Linked DNA regions of Drosophila melanogaster. The main gene of each other region encodes a partner of the protein of the gene in region 2 in a complex. Each region holds a gene or a part of one and is shown on either strand. Other genes may lie near its edges. A codon is read from its position in the direction of its gene.

What was found. The genes of interacting proteins can lie anywhere in the genome.
Region 1: the proteins of grim (region 2) and Diap1 are in contact, whole or in part, in a crystal structure (PDB 1JD5), measured with the Drosophila melanogaster proteins. Residues at the interface, in NP_524137.2 of Drosophila melanogaster: Ala2 (codon at 4,018), Ile3 (codon at 4,021), Ala4 (codon at 4,024), Tyr5 (codon at 4,027), Phe6 (codon at 4,030), Ile7 (codon at 4,033), Pro8 (codon at 4,036); in NP_001261916.1 of Drosophila melanogaster: Thr255, Arg260, Val261, Arg262, Cys266, Gly267, Gly268, Gly269, Leu270, Met271, Asp272, Trp273, Asn274, Asp277, Gln282, Trp286, Leu287, Glu314.

What each region holds. Positions count from the first base shown.
Region 1 is NT_037436.4:16,047,430-16,054,802, forward strand, and holds the start of Diap1 (Death-associated inhibitor of apoptosis 1), read right to left. Parts: upstream 3,606-7,373; 5' UTR 3,029-3,605; intron 2,875-3,028; exon of another isoform or gene 2,155-2,874; intron 2,081-2,154; exon of another isoform or gene 1,806-2,080; intron 1-1,805. Other genes in the region: Mbs (myosin binding subunit), read left to right, coding at 5,877-6,131. UniProt on the Drosophila melanogaster protein: Anti-apoptotic protein which functions as a caspase regulator, using its E3 ubiquitin-protein ligase activity to smother caspase activity. Binds, ubiquitinates and inactivates initiator caspase Dronc, and effector caspases Drice and Dcp-1.
Region 2 is NT_037436.4:18,300,431-18,308,113, reverse strand, and holds grim (grim), read left to right. Parts: upstream 1-3,696; 5' UTR 3,697-4,014; coding exon 4,015-4,431; 3' UTR 4,432-5,395; downstream 5,396-7,683. Other genes in the region: CG13700 (uncharacterized protein), read left to right, coding at 6,981-7,279, 7,340-7,422, 7,495-7,683. UniProt on the Drosophila melanogaster protein: Activator of apoptosis, independent of rpr and hid, that acts on the effector Dredd.

The DNA of each region.
Region 1 (7,373 bases), 2.3 Mb from region 2:
GTCCACATATCAAAAAAGGTAGATTATTATGCCTTCGAATTCCGATCATTATTTTTTTAAACGAAAAAATGCTTTTAATGATACGGCTTGGCTGGCGGAGTGCCAGCTTTAAACAAATCGGCTATGCAAAAAGCTATGTATGGAAAAGAGCAAAACAAAAAACAAAATTAAGAGAACATCTCAAAGTGCAGGCTCTGTCCCGTACTCGGTCCCGTACTAGCCTGATTCAGGTTAAACCAAAGACACTAGAAGTGTCAATCTAATGATGATGAATTAATGATGAATCCGTCCTTATACCAAAAACTAAAGAACAAGATTTACAACTTCAATTGCAATGCCTTATTTTGAGTCAATTTCTTCTATGTCTTCTAAAATGTCAGCTTTTTGATTCGCTTTTAGGTTATAGAAAATAGGGTTCCCTGGGGCGGGGTTCTAATATATATATTTTGCACACAGTACAAGGCTGAGTAATTGCTACAGTAAATATTACGCAATTTTATGTACATAAGTTAGTATATGACATGATAAAATGGCTGATAAAAACTAATAAATGCGAAGAAACCACTAGGGATTCTTAAAGTATTTGTTGAATATATTTATATTATGAAATTTACAAACATATTTCTTGAATTGACGTTTTTGCCTCGAACAAAGTATTTGCAATGAACTATCAATAAGTAAAATATTTTTAAACGAAGTCCCAAGCTTTTCTGATTAAGCCCCTTTGAGTTATGAATATATATTTGGCAGGGGAAATGCCAACACGTTCTGATACTGTATAAACAAAGATTGCCAAGTTTGAATCATTTATGGAAAACAGCCCGGCTACAGTGCGCGACATGTGTATATGGCGTCCGCAAGCAAACGGGTTGAACTTTTCAAATTTTATAAATACACGCTGCTAAATTTACCACGAAAATGTCGCGACGCATTTGAGAAATTTGCCTATAAATGCGAAGTCTAGACGACTTTGACATGTTGCAAGTCGACACTGTTTGCAGGCGGTCTTCTGCTGTAAATTAAGCGAAAATGTGGCGTCTATACAAGCATTCTATTTGCGGATGCTGCCAGAGGCACTTCGGTTTTCATTTCATATTCAGCATCAAAAGATCACTCCGCTGACCACGCAGAGTTTGGGTCTCGAGTCGCCGGACAAGTTTTAGTTGAAAAATCCGCGGGCTTGGAGCTAAACGGCCTTGCAAGGCCTTTTAAAGTTGTTGCAACCGCCCTGTTCTTGTTGGTGCTGCTTTTAATGCACAGTTAAAATAGCCTACAGCGTTTTAACTTAATGTGTTGACAGCTGTTTAAGCTATTTCAAACAACTTGAGTCACTTTGTTGCTTTAATAATGAAACCATGCCAGCATTAACAAGTATGACTCAATAGGGATATACCTTAATTTTATCTATATATGCATGTATAATATTCATTTAAGATAAATATTAAGGAGCGTGTCAAAAGATTGCTGCAACTTTGTAATTCCTAAGTTCCTCATATTACATTTCAAAAGCTATACTCTACAGTTGATTCTGTTTATGTTATATTTTGTGGCTTTTTATTAACAGCCAACTGCAGCGGAGCTGAAAACCTGTTTGCCATTTTTGTATTCTCTTCATTCATTTGTGCGGCGATTGGCAAAAGGTGTCATAACAACGCGTTGGGCACGATTCGATTAGACTAGCCACTACCCATTGCTTATAACATGTGCTGCCTGTCGGTCCCTTTTCTAGCCACCATGTATTTACCTGCTCCATTCAGGGCCAAAAAAAAAGGAAGGAAAGAAAGCACCTGGATCGACAATTGTGGACGTGTGCCGGCAGCTGCAGCAACTAGGTAATAACCGATCAGAGGATCGCCGAAAGCGGAGCCAGCAACATCTGCTCCTGGGGCAAGGGTCCTCATCCTTATTGTGCACGCTTCCAGTGAAAGGATCGCGCGGCACATGACGACGCCAGCTGCCGTCGATCCTTTGTCAGGATATTTTCGGTGTGTGGATGTGTGGAACAATCCAATAATGAGCCTACCGAACTGAGGTGTCCCGCGGATCTTTTGCTGTCAAATGATGGAGCCTCAAAAAGGATGTATGTATATTGTATATTTAAGTTTATGGTGTAGTGGATAAATACTCAAAAATAATTTTATTCATCATTTTCAGGGGAACACCAAGTGAACTCATCAGTGAACTACTATTTGAAGTAAGGAATTTGAGAGGTTATGACATTACTCAAGTGACCTAATTTCCTGTGAAACCATCTAGTCACCGTTACTAGGTATAGATTAGACTTGCCAGTTGACAGTTGTTTTAAACAAATATCTCACGAATGAATGACGCAAAACAGAATGCAGCGAGGATATATGAATTTCGTTCTAGTAAAATAAGTGAGGTAAGCAACTGATGCTATAGGCAAAACCCCATCAATCATAGGAACCTACGCAGCGCTGTAAATGGAAATGACATTGAGCGGTAATTAGAAATTGGAAAATTCTAGCTAGTAAACGCGTTCCACGAATGGGTGGGTTTTGCAGCATGGGGGTGGTGTTGATTTCATCATGAATGAAATGCGATGCGAATGAGCTCAGCATCGGCGGAGATAAAAGGTACAATCTTAGTTAATATCCAGGCAGAAACATGTGCGACAGACAGATTTCATTCCAACCCATCCCTCAAAATGACAAGCTAGCACAAGAGCGAATAAGATAAGACGGGATCCTGACATATGCCTAAGTATGTATGTACATGTGTATCTCGGCCTCCAGATTGTTTTAGAAATCACTAGAAAACGCCAGAGAGCGGAGAGCGAGATAGGGAGAAAGGGGGAGAGAGAGAGAGTGAGAGAGGGAGGGATAATGGTCGTGTCCCTGTTTATGTGGGGGTAAGGACATGAATGAAAAAAGGCGTGTTGGAGAGAGAAAGGTAGACAGGCGGCGCCTATTTGTATGCAGCATAATTCAAGTATAGTAAAGTAAACCCATTTTGTTTTTTCTATAAACCGCGGGAAGATTGAACACACATATTTATATTTACTTACCAGAGACATTTTAAACAGTGATAACGTATCAGTTTATCATTGGTTTTTTTAATGCCTTTTTTCGGCCACCAAATCGTTAATTGTTTTCGTTCACCTCTTATCGCACCACGATAAGATTATAAAATCACTTAAAATAAGTTTTGCTGTATAAAATGTTTACACAACTGTGCTCACGTCGACTGGTGGGTTTGAATGCCGTGCAACGACTACGCCAAAGCTATGTGCCTATATAGCTCACTTTCCTATAGGTATTTGTTTTGTCGGTTCTGCGTTCTCGTTTTGTTTTGTTTTGCTTGGCTTTCTAGTGAGCGAGAGGGTGCTGGCGGGGGAAAGAGAGAGAACTAGCGGGGCGGAACGGTCGAAATAGTTTTTTGCCGCCCAAGCGATGCGCAATTATTTTTGGGGGTGGGATGTCCGCACTTTCGTTGGCTATTCCAGCTGTGCGTCTCTAAACTGGAATGTTTTTTTTAAAACTTTTTTAAGTTTAATTAATAACTATTTTGCAAGCTATTTATATTTCTGAATATATTAAAATTTCAAAAACAAACAACTGTCAGCACACGAAGTCGTAGTTTTAAATAAATGCTAAATGGGGTCACACTGTTCAAGGTGCTTGGCTCGCTGATGTATCGATACGCGCTAAAAAGATATCGATAAGATGCATCAGTGGGATCAAGTCTACGCTAGGCCGTCAGCAGCGTTTTCAACCAACATTTATCGAATAAAACGGTTTGGAAATCGAAACGGTAGTTCAGGTATAACACATATACAAAATTGAGCCACTTATAGAACAAGGGTCTGTTACCCGGTCCAGTAACACCGCGAAAACTGAGCTTATTTCGATTCATCAGAATTAGAGCCCCTAACATTTTGTCTTGATTTGACAAAAAAATTAGTGGAACAAACAGAAGAACCTTCGGCATACCGAGAACTCCCAGTAAAAACAAAATACTTTGATCAGTTTGGAAATTTATTTTAACATCAATTGTTTGTTGTTTCGGTTTAATAAACTTTCGAGAATTCTTAGTATCAAACCAGGAATAAATACAAACAATTGAGGGAAGCCACAATTAGAGAAGTTGACCAAAAACAGCATTTTTTGAGTTTGAAAGTAAATTGATTCTGTTGTATCCTCTTTTTCCTTTTTGTGTTTTATATAGATAAAATTAGAAACGGTATTAATATATTTAAAAAGTTGTTTGAAAATTGCATTGTATGTGTTTTTGAGGCACATCAAATATATCGATAGATATGGCCGCATCTATTTTTGAACTAAATGTAAAGAATTGGATGCAAAAAGAACGCATTTCTCCCGAATGGAGTAATAAGACGAACAATTACGAATACCCTAAAATAATATTGATAGTTTAATTAACATCGTTAAAAATATCGGTCCATAACAGCACTGCTAAGTGTTAACATAACTAAGACGCCATCTACAATTTTGTGAGCGGCGTTAGTGTGACCAGGCGAAAAGAGTGCTAAATATACCGCGCATTGCCCTCCGATTCACATCGTCAAAAAATTTTGGTCTGTGAACTTCGTGCGGATGAAATTCGATTTGAACGCCACCGAAAATATGCAAAATAAAGTGAAATACCAGTGCCTCGCGGACGAGGAGCGCTTCAGCGGAGAGTCCTGCAGCCATTAAAGCCCAGAGAGCACTGAAAGTTCTGGGAATTTCGCGGGAAAGGTGCGTTTTTCGCTTGGTCTTTCGGTGTGTGTGAAAAGTTTCTACTGCAATCCATTTTTCTCTACGTGCGTGTGCGGCATACGTGTGTATGTGTTGCGTCTGTGTGCGAGGCGAGTGAATGTGTGTGTGAGTGTGGAGTGGAATGTAAAATGTGGGGCGATGTAAAAATGCCTTTACATAAGTGCACTCGCATTTGCAAGGATTTTGTGCAATACCGCCATCCTGCCAAATTACATAAAATCATCGCATTTCAGTGCGTGAAAAAATACGCGGTTTCCATTTTTGTTCTATTTACTCGCGACGTCAGCGTCGCGGCTGTTGAATTTATGTCAAATTGGTAACACACACACATGCAGGCTCAGCCATTCGCGCTCTCCGTATGCAAGCCCTAACTGCATGAGTGTGTGTGAGCGGCAGAGAGAGAGAGAGAGCGCGAAAGGGAGAATGATAAACAAAGTGTAAAAAAAACAAGCGGCTGCTAAAATGCCCGCAAGTGTTTTTAATTGATATGAAAATGTGTTTGCTTAACACTATGTAGCCCAGCAGCTGGTGGCTCTAAATAAAGCATTTGCAAAATATTAATTTCTCCTATCGTATTTCTTAGTTTTTGCCCCATCCTCTTGTGTAATTTCCATTGAATGCAACAACAAAGGTGCGCGTTAAACAACAACAAATAGCATTGTTTTGCGGGAGAGCGAGTGTGAGAGAGAGAGAGCGTTCCTGATTGCGACATTGTGTGAGTGAGCGGAGAAGAAAACGCCAAGAAGTTGGCTGATAAAGCAAACGCACACGCACGCACGCACGCGCACACACACGCAAAGAAAATAGAAAAATCGTAAAATAATAATAATCAGCAAGCAGGAAAAGAAGAAGCAGCAGCAGCAGCAGTACAAACAGCAAAAGTGTAGTCGTGATCGAAAATCGAAAGTGTGAAGCATTTTCTATAAATAGTGCAAAATCAAAACCCAATTCCCATTGCAAACAAAAGCGCAATAAAGCAATTACGATAGAGCAATAGCGATACAACAGCGCTACATACAAAATCTACACACATCTGGAGCAGTCGAGCGATCTCACAGAGCGCGTGCTCTGCAGCAAGTAGCAGGATTATCTGAAGGAGCAGATCGTTCGTCTGGCCAAGAAGGATCTGCCAAGATGTCCTCGCTGGACGCACGCAACAACTCGGCGATGATGAAGCGCGCCGAGCAGCTGAAGCGCTGGGAGGAGTCGGACACAAACCGCGCCGCCCCCACCCCCCGGCACGAGCACGGCCGCAGGATCAAGTTCAGCTCCGGCTGTGTCTTCCTCGCCGCCTGCCTTTCCGGCGACAAGGACGAGGTCGTCCAGCTGCTCGACCAGGGCGCCGACATCAACACCGCCAACGTCGATGGACTCACCGCCCTGCACCAGGTAAGTCTGCCAGTAATCATCATTCTTTCACACTTAGGAATAGTCCTTATTGGGTGGTAGAAAATGTAACGTTTGAATGGTTATACTTTGCTCAACTAGTCAATTTGTAAATAAATTTAAATTAAAGAACATACAATAAAATAAAATATATTTTAAAGCTATCTTTAAAGATATAGTACACAGATAGAAAACATAAAACATTCGCTAGAAGAAAAGAAAAAGACAACAGTCTTTTAGTAGGTATTGATAATTCCCACTTAAGTAATCGTTTGCAAACAGACATTATTTTCTTGTTTGGGTAGAAGTGGCGAGTATTAGCAATTCTATCAAGGGTTGCATTTGCAGCAGGTGCAATTTCCAGTTAATTAAATGTGAATATTCACACTGCATCCCCTATCACCAGGGATTGATTTCCCACTTTAGAAGGCGGCTAGGCGTTGCGTCAGTCTGCTGCAACTGCGATCACGCGACTGGGCGAGGGGGTGGTGGGTGAATTGGGGGCGGGGTTGGGGTGGAACGGGCGCAGGGAGCTGCAGTTTCGACACTGTTGCGTTGCGTCCAACTGTGGTGCTGACGTGAATCGCACTGTGGGTCGAATTCCATGGGGTCATGGGATCAAATTATTAAAATGCTACAAGAATATCTAGCAGCAAACGAAAAGTATTACCTTATTGTTTCGTAAGGATTAACCATTTAATTTTTATGTATACTTCATTTAACTTAAGAGCGTTTAAAGTAAAACAACAAATTAAAATATAAAGAACAAATTACTAAATTGATTAATTTTACAAGATTTTCCATCGAAGAAGATAAAGAACACAGCATTATGACACATTGACGTTATTATTTAGGAATTTTTATAGGATATTCAATCAAGGTCAAGAATGATCCATCCTGTTTAGACCCACTGTGCAGCGCCGTTCGCTAGACGCTCGACCATTATTGTTGTTGGGTATTTCGTGCTCTTTCGCCGCCGCAACAATAATTCGAATTTCGAATATTAACAAATACAGCAAATACATGGCTAATGCAAGCCGACGATTTACAAGTCGAATGGCCAGAACGGCATAGCCAACAACAACAGCCACAAGCAAAAGGCAAACGGCCAAAAGCATTAAATAAGAAAAATACAAAATGTTCTATTTTTAAACACCCAAGAAAAACATACAAAACCCATACACACGAAAGCGCGTTTACATATTGAAAGCCCAAAGATTTTCGCAAAATCATTTTCAGTTTTCC
Region 2 (7,683 bases):
GCTTGAAGACGCAGCGCGTTCGTGCAAAGCAAAATAAATTGAAATTTTAAAATGTATGAAATTAATTTTTGGCGTCGGTGACTGGGCTAAAAAGTTCTCTCCAACGCCTCAGATGATATCACATGATTATTTATCTGTTACGCACACTTACACTTTGCCCGACACATATGCAAAGGACGTGTGTCCTGGTCCTTTCCAAGTCTCGTGTCCTGAGCCTGACACTTGCCAACACACTTTGTCAAGTTTTTAGTATGTTGTCAGCGATTTCCCACTCCTGTTTGGTACTCTGACTTTTTGTCTTAGCCCTTTTAAGCCATTTGTCAAACACTTGGCATGACGTCATGTGTGGATGCGAATCGAAGGGGAGTTCTTTTGCGACATCTTAGGGTATTTACAGCTTCGTTTTGGGCAGTTAGCTGCCTCCGCAGTTGGGCGAAAATTTACATATAGATTAGCAGCAGCACAGACACACCAATGGCCACTAGATGTGGACCTTCAATGCACTTTATCCGGCCCTCGACCGATTTTGATGGCGGTGATGATGTCTGCAGTGCATAAGTGGAAATCATTAAGGGGCTGGCCGCATCTTGTAAACCGGTGCGTAATCCTGCAGACCCAGCCAAACCAACGACACACTGAAAAAAATCTTAAATAAATGTTTTGTGTGGCTTAAGAAATATGATATTTTAAAAGTGGCATTGGGTATAATTAAAATATTATTTTAATATTTTAAGAACTCTTTTTACTTTTTAATTGCTTAGAAATTTATAAAATTAGTTGTAAGGCACCACTCTTTTGAACTTTACAAGTTTTGAGTTTTACATAACGTAACGTGACAACTGGACGTGTATTAAACTATAATTGTTCTTGAACAAGCTTTGGTTTTTTCTGAGTTCACAGTCAATTGTTTACAGAACAGAACTGGCAGCTCGGCATTGTTACCATTTCCGTTCCGTTTCTCTCTCTCTCTCTGAAGCCCATTGTCCAGGGGCTGGAAATCCCCTGACAACACTTTGGCCCTTTCACTATGTGAAAAAAGAAAATTTCTGCGAGCAATCCTTGAACAATGCACGAAATAATTGCACAGACCGGACTGCGAAACCGGGTTGAGTGGTGGAGGCGGAGAGTTGAGGTCCTTGCGAAGAGACATAATGATGGCCCGCTGGATATTGGCTGATGATGGGCATTAAAACGCGTATGATGAGACTTAAGTAGTTACACACACACAGCGTACGATTGGGACTCTTTAGGTGTGTCCTGGAAAAAGGACTCGCTGGGGTTTAAGTGATGCTAACATATTGCCGACACATGCATGTCGTGGGTTAGGGAAGAACTTCCTCTGAAATGATATTTCTTCTCTATGATTACCGTGTCTGCATATTGCTAAATGAAAATCTGAAGCACAAAGTGTAAATAATGTTACGGCAAGGGGAAAATGATTCACGGCTGATGGGTAAGGTGAATGCGGATTGGTGTATTAACATCTGTCGTAAAATTATGTGGGAAAACATAAATCGATAGGACATTTGGATTAGCTTGATCAATGTGCTAATATTTGTTCAGGAGATATGTTGAATAGAAAGAGTGATTTTATAAAATGCCTAAAATATTAAAAACTTAACATTTTAAGTCCAGTAAAAACAATTACACAATATTTGTTATATAAAATTCAAATAGCCTGTTCGGCTTATCAATTCTCGGTAATGATGAAAAATTAAGTACTTAAACCTAAATAGGGATATTAATCATGTTAATAGTTAAATTCGCAGTAATGATATTACTTCAATCAATACAGAAAATTTTGTTGTTTTGTTTTGTTTTTAAAAATATTTCACCTCATTTTCCGCACACCATTTATAAGCAAAGTTACCCCCAACCCATAACTTTTATGGTAAGTAATACAGACCCTCCAAGTTCGGCAAATCGATACCCAGCGACCTTGAGCTTGACATTTATATATATGCCAGAATATAACGACCACGTGCTGTCAACTGTGTCAGGAAAAGCTCACCCACACTTTCTTTGGAGGAGCTGTGCTCCCTAAACGAATTTCATTGTCAAGGTCGCACGCACAAAAATGAAGAGGAAAAGCTGAATGTGGGTGGAAATGCCGGCCGGCACGACCTTGAAGCCAGTTGGGTGAGAAATAAAAAGCTTTTGCCGGTAGGAGACTTGTGGAACATCACCCACAAGTGGCGGACTTGGCCTTGGCGATGGCCTTGTTGGAGCTCCCTCAGCAAAAATGTTACATAGGGGGAGGAAATAAGCTCAATTGGCTTTATGCTTTCCGCTCCCTGGAAGTCCTTTTCTGGAATGTTAAAGTGTTAAATGACATTTATTGAACATTTGGGACAGAGGAGGAGATAATACAATATACTTGTCTAATTAAAAAAAATCGTTATTATGATTTATTCCATATGTAAGATTTTAATTCATCATGATTGTAAATAAATTATATAAAACAAATTCAATAAATTTACATTATTGATAAAATTTATTTTTTCATGAAATTATACCCAAAAATTATTCTCAATTTTTCTTATAATCAGTTTTGCATAAGTATACTTTCTTCATACCCCTCTACCACAGCCACTGCTTTCTTGACTTTGCAACTATCCGGGAACAGCTTATCATAATGGATGAGCTGCAGCTAACGGAAAATGGGGGAGCTGGGATCAAACATTTTCCAAGGTTGAAATTGTCGTCAGCATAATGTTTGAGGGAGCTGGATTCGCGTTAGCTTGAAGGTCAATCCATTTGGGTGCCCTTTGTTATGGTCAAGTTTAAGGCTGCAATAGGGGGAATCTTCAAGGACCATTACGCAAGGTTTTCGCATCAAAGATTTGCCGTGCAAGCTTTTTGAGTTGAAGGATGCTTAACTTGAAAGCGGGTTAGTGGTTCCAAGAGATTTTAGGTGAAGGAGACTCCGCTGTTTTGAAATATATTAAGTATGTAAAGAAGTATACTATAAATAACCCAAAGTGATACAATGTAAGAAAAGATCTCGTTGGTCCCTGGTATAAATTTGTTTGCCATTAATGAATATTGAAAATAATAATTATACTAATAATAGGTACAATAAGCAAGATTAAATTGCATTTAATCACCAAAAATCAGTTTCTATGCGAACCAAAATGTCATAACAAACAATTGTTGATTCATCCGTAGTGAAATCCAAGTTCGAAATTCGAAATGAGCATACGACGACCAAACTTCCCCTCAAAATTGCTAGACTCAGCTAGAGCAAGTACGCCCAAGTTAACCCCTGAAATTCGAAATGAATTCGATGCCGCGCTTCGAACAACGAAATCCCAAAGAGCTTACGTTTTATTTGACGTAGCACTCTTACGTGAAATGATTTTCCCCAATTCCGCTCTCATTTCCCGAGTCTCTCACCGCTTCTCAGCCACTTTCCCACCCCCTTTCTAGTTCCGAAGTAAAGGTAACAAAGGCAGCCGTGTCTTTGGGGTGGTAAACTGGCGGTGGTGGTGGCACATTGTCAGTGGTGTGGGTTCCTGTGGTTGGTGGTTCAATTGGTTGGTTGTTGGCATAAACAAAGCACACACACAATACACACAAACTCCCGGGGGGTGGTGGAAATTGGGAGGGTGACATTCACTGCGAGAGAGGAACTCGCTTCCTATAGGAAAGTACAAAGAGAGCTATTTTATAAATGTGACTGCAGCAAGGATATTTACAGTCAGTCCACTCTGAAACCTCGACGAGAGAACATTGAATAACAAGCGGAAGCGAAAAGCGCAGTTGAAAGTTCGTCAAAAAGCGACAAGTTTCCTCGTTCGTTTTCCCGCCAAATGAGTCAGAAAAATTTTCCAAGTGCTCGATACGAAACATAAAGACTTACAAGACTTAAAGTGCAAGCAGTGAATGGAATATATTATTCCTCAGCGATATTGAAATCAAACATTAAAAATATATGCTACACTAAAGTTATATATTTTTTTAAAGATTCATACGTTTTGTAAAATCACATTTTGTATTAAATTAAATACCGCCATGGCCATCGCCTATTTCATACCCGACCAGGCCCAATTGTTGGCCAGAAGCTATCAGCAAAACGGCCAGCAGACAGCAGCGAGTCCAAGGACAACTGCAACAGCTGCTGCACCATCGCAGCAGCAGCAACAATCGCAACAACAGCAGCAGCAGCAGCGACATCATCATCAGCAACAGCGCCCACAATTCCGTGCCAATATTTCCGTGCCGCTGGGAAGTCAACAGGGATCGATGACCATGTCGGAGTTTGGATGCTGGGATCTTTTGGCCCAGATCTTCTGCTACGCTCTGCGAATCTACAGCTACAGTTCGAGCCAGCGTCAACCGACGGTCATTCAGATATCCTTCGAGATCAGCAGCGGCGGTCAGAACAACGATGAGGACGACGTGACTGATGCCACCTCCAAGGAGAACTAAATTTGGTTTCCATATTTCATCCTGGTGGAGAGAAAATCTTTGGGATTTTCTGGGAAAGGCAGGCTCAATCAAAGCGCATTGTGATTTCTTTTTTGGGTATGGACACATGAGGAGGAACGAGTTTTGTAAAACATGGGATATTTCCACAACAAAATAAGAAAACTATTTTTAAACTATTTTTGAGAGAGAGAAAATTCAAAATTTGTCATCGACTTGCTTAAAGTGATTTTGGTTGTTTGTTACTTTTTTGGATGTCAAATTTTCCGATATAAGTTTTGAAAAAATGTTTAATTTTGCAAGCAAAGGTTTCCCGGTTGGTTCAAATACATAAACATACTTAACAACATTTAGAGAGCATAAAGAGAAATGTGTAAAATTGTCATAAACCTTATTAGTGTCTATACGTATGAGCAAAACCACAAGTATCGTACTCAACTAACAAATAATTGTCAAATTTTCTACTTCAACTACTTCAACTACATTTCAACTACTTACAAATATAAATCGTAAACTAATATTACAGAACTACAATACAGAACCAACAACAAAACAAAGATGCAACCGCAGCAACAAGAATAACAAAAGACAACAACTCAATTGTACAAAATAGATTTTAAGCAAACAGCAAATTTTATATGTTTACAACAAAGAGAGAAAATACAAAACGTCTACAAAAAATAGAATACAAGAACCGCCGAACAGAATACATTTTAACAAAAATTAAACAAAACAACAACAAACATTTAAGCAATTTTGATACGAATAATCAAGAATAACAAAATTTGAAATGTATCTTATCATTATTATTGATTTTAGCAAAATTCAAAACATATTATTTTAATTTTGGCATTGCAAATTAAACAAGAAATATTGAAATTAATCACATGTAAAGATAGCATTTGTAAGAAATTAAAATTTTTATAAGACAAACAAGCAAAAAATAAATACAATTTTATAAAAAATTAAAAAATACTTTGAACGATTATTATTGTCCCTTTTCAGAAAAACATAAAGAATTTTACCAACACCATTGCCGAGATATATATATTTAATTACCTTTTATTTCGGAGGTGTAGAACTCTATTAAAATGTTTTTGAAAAATTATTCGAAGCGTTTTTAAAATATTTTAAAAATAAACTAAAACGTTTTTAAAATAAATTCAAAAGAATATTTATTTGTTTCACCAAAGTTTTTATAAAAAAATACGTCAAAATAATATGAAATTTTGTTTAATACACTCTTTTAATAACCGCTTATGAATTAAGCCTTTGTATTCCATTTTGGGCAATGAAATGGCAAAGGATAACCGTCCTGCCAGGAAAAGGCGGAGTAAGCAAACATTTAGCGATCGCTATCGTCAAAACCAATATGTCACCTTAAAAGGGAAAACACATTTTTGGTTAAGGGCAGACAGAGAATTTTCCCGTCGTGTCATGCCAGGCACACTCCACCCAAAAGGGTTAAAAAGCAAAGGTGACGCTTAACCGCAGATCCCAGTTTGTGCCACCAATGTCCAAGTCATCGGGCTCGGGGTCAAAGGGAAAAAGAGGAAAAGGGCAAAGGGGGTGTACCCTTTAGCAAGCCCGGAAACCCATTTAACCCCAGAAGTGGAAAAAGTGTAACATCTGTGGCAGCAAGCGATCAGCGGCGCCTGATAAGTTCGCCAGTCAAATAATAATTATGCAAACATTTCGGGCCGCTAATTTGCCGCCTATCTTAATTTAAATCGCTCAAAAGCGCACTGGAACCAGCGCACAAGAAATTGTTTAATTGTCGTGACATGACAATAAGCGACCTGGAAATTAGGGTCCTTCGCTATCCTTTTTTTTCGCGTGTGGCTTGATTTTTGGCGATGATAAGCAAGGGGGAAATTATAGGGTATGCAAATGCTCGCATAGTGTCAGTCGCGTGTCCTGGATCAAGTTTTCATTCGGGTTCGTTTTCCACTCAAATTCCTTCTTAGCGCCTGCAATTATGCTCGGCGGAGAGACAGTTTATGATAACATATTTGTAGTTAATTTAGTTAAATTAGTGCCACATATGTTAAACTGATCTGAGATAGCCAGGTGGGAGCTGCAAATGGGTGAAAATTCCATCGAGTCACAGGTTGCTGGCAAACTGCTTTCGATTGGGTCCACACTCAAATATTTCAATAGTTAAAACCACGGGTAATAGACATTTAAAAAGAAAAAAGAAAGCAATATAAAAGCAAATAAGTGTAATCTAGTTAACTTAAATACATATAGTCAAGTCATCTAAATATGCTGTTTCCCTTTTGTATTGCAGACTGGATAGATAGAGCTTCAAAAAATTGTTCGGTGTTCTTTTTTAATTAAACCTTAAAACGTTTATTTCAGTTGATTTTGAGAAAGTTGTTCTATAAAAGCATAAACAAAGTATTCAATGAGAAGAGTGTAAATAAACTTTAAGAAATTATTATTATTCCTTAAGGGAAGCAAAATTCCAAAGCATTTACTTAGGCATGAGCTAGATACCTTAGTGGTGTCATACCGCAAAGCTCGACCAGGATATCCATCTTATAATCATAATGAACACTTCGGATAAGAATGACAATGATAATGATTCCTTGGGCGACGAGCAGGATCAGGAAGTCCGCCAAATACTAGATTCAATCGAAAGCTTCGATGACGTCTGCAAAACTTTCAAGTCGAAAAGTGTTCAAGAATTAAACGCTCAAAAGACAAGTGAAGTTCCCAAATCTGACCAGGAAAAGGTTCACACGTCATCGTCGAAATACAATTCTACTCCCCAGACAGAAAAACTTACTTCTGAGGCAGATCCAGATAGCGAATACACACGTTTTCTGAAGCAAATGAGCGTTCGTTAGTAAGTTAAGTTATTTTAACAATAATTTTAATTTAATTTTCTTACTCATATGCATCTTAGCTCAGAGTTTCGCATTGCCTCGGGTCAAGTAGTTCAACAAAAGGGTCAGACAATGGACTACCGAGACTATAACTATAGCGAATGTAAATATTGAGTTTCTAATTTCTAAAATATTTTTGGAAATTTATTGATCTTTTTATTTCCTGCTATTGTAGATCCAGTATGTCAACCTTCTTGTAGCTGGCAATCCTTTAACCCAATGACTCAGGACTCGACATCTGGACAAAGAGAGATGGAATCGTCATCATCTAGTTCGCCCGGGCAGATGTGCCAAAATCAATACGGCTATGGTCAATCTCTTCCGGAAGCCGGATCAAGATCGGACGAGACCATTGTCAACGATC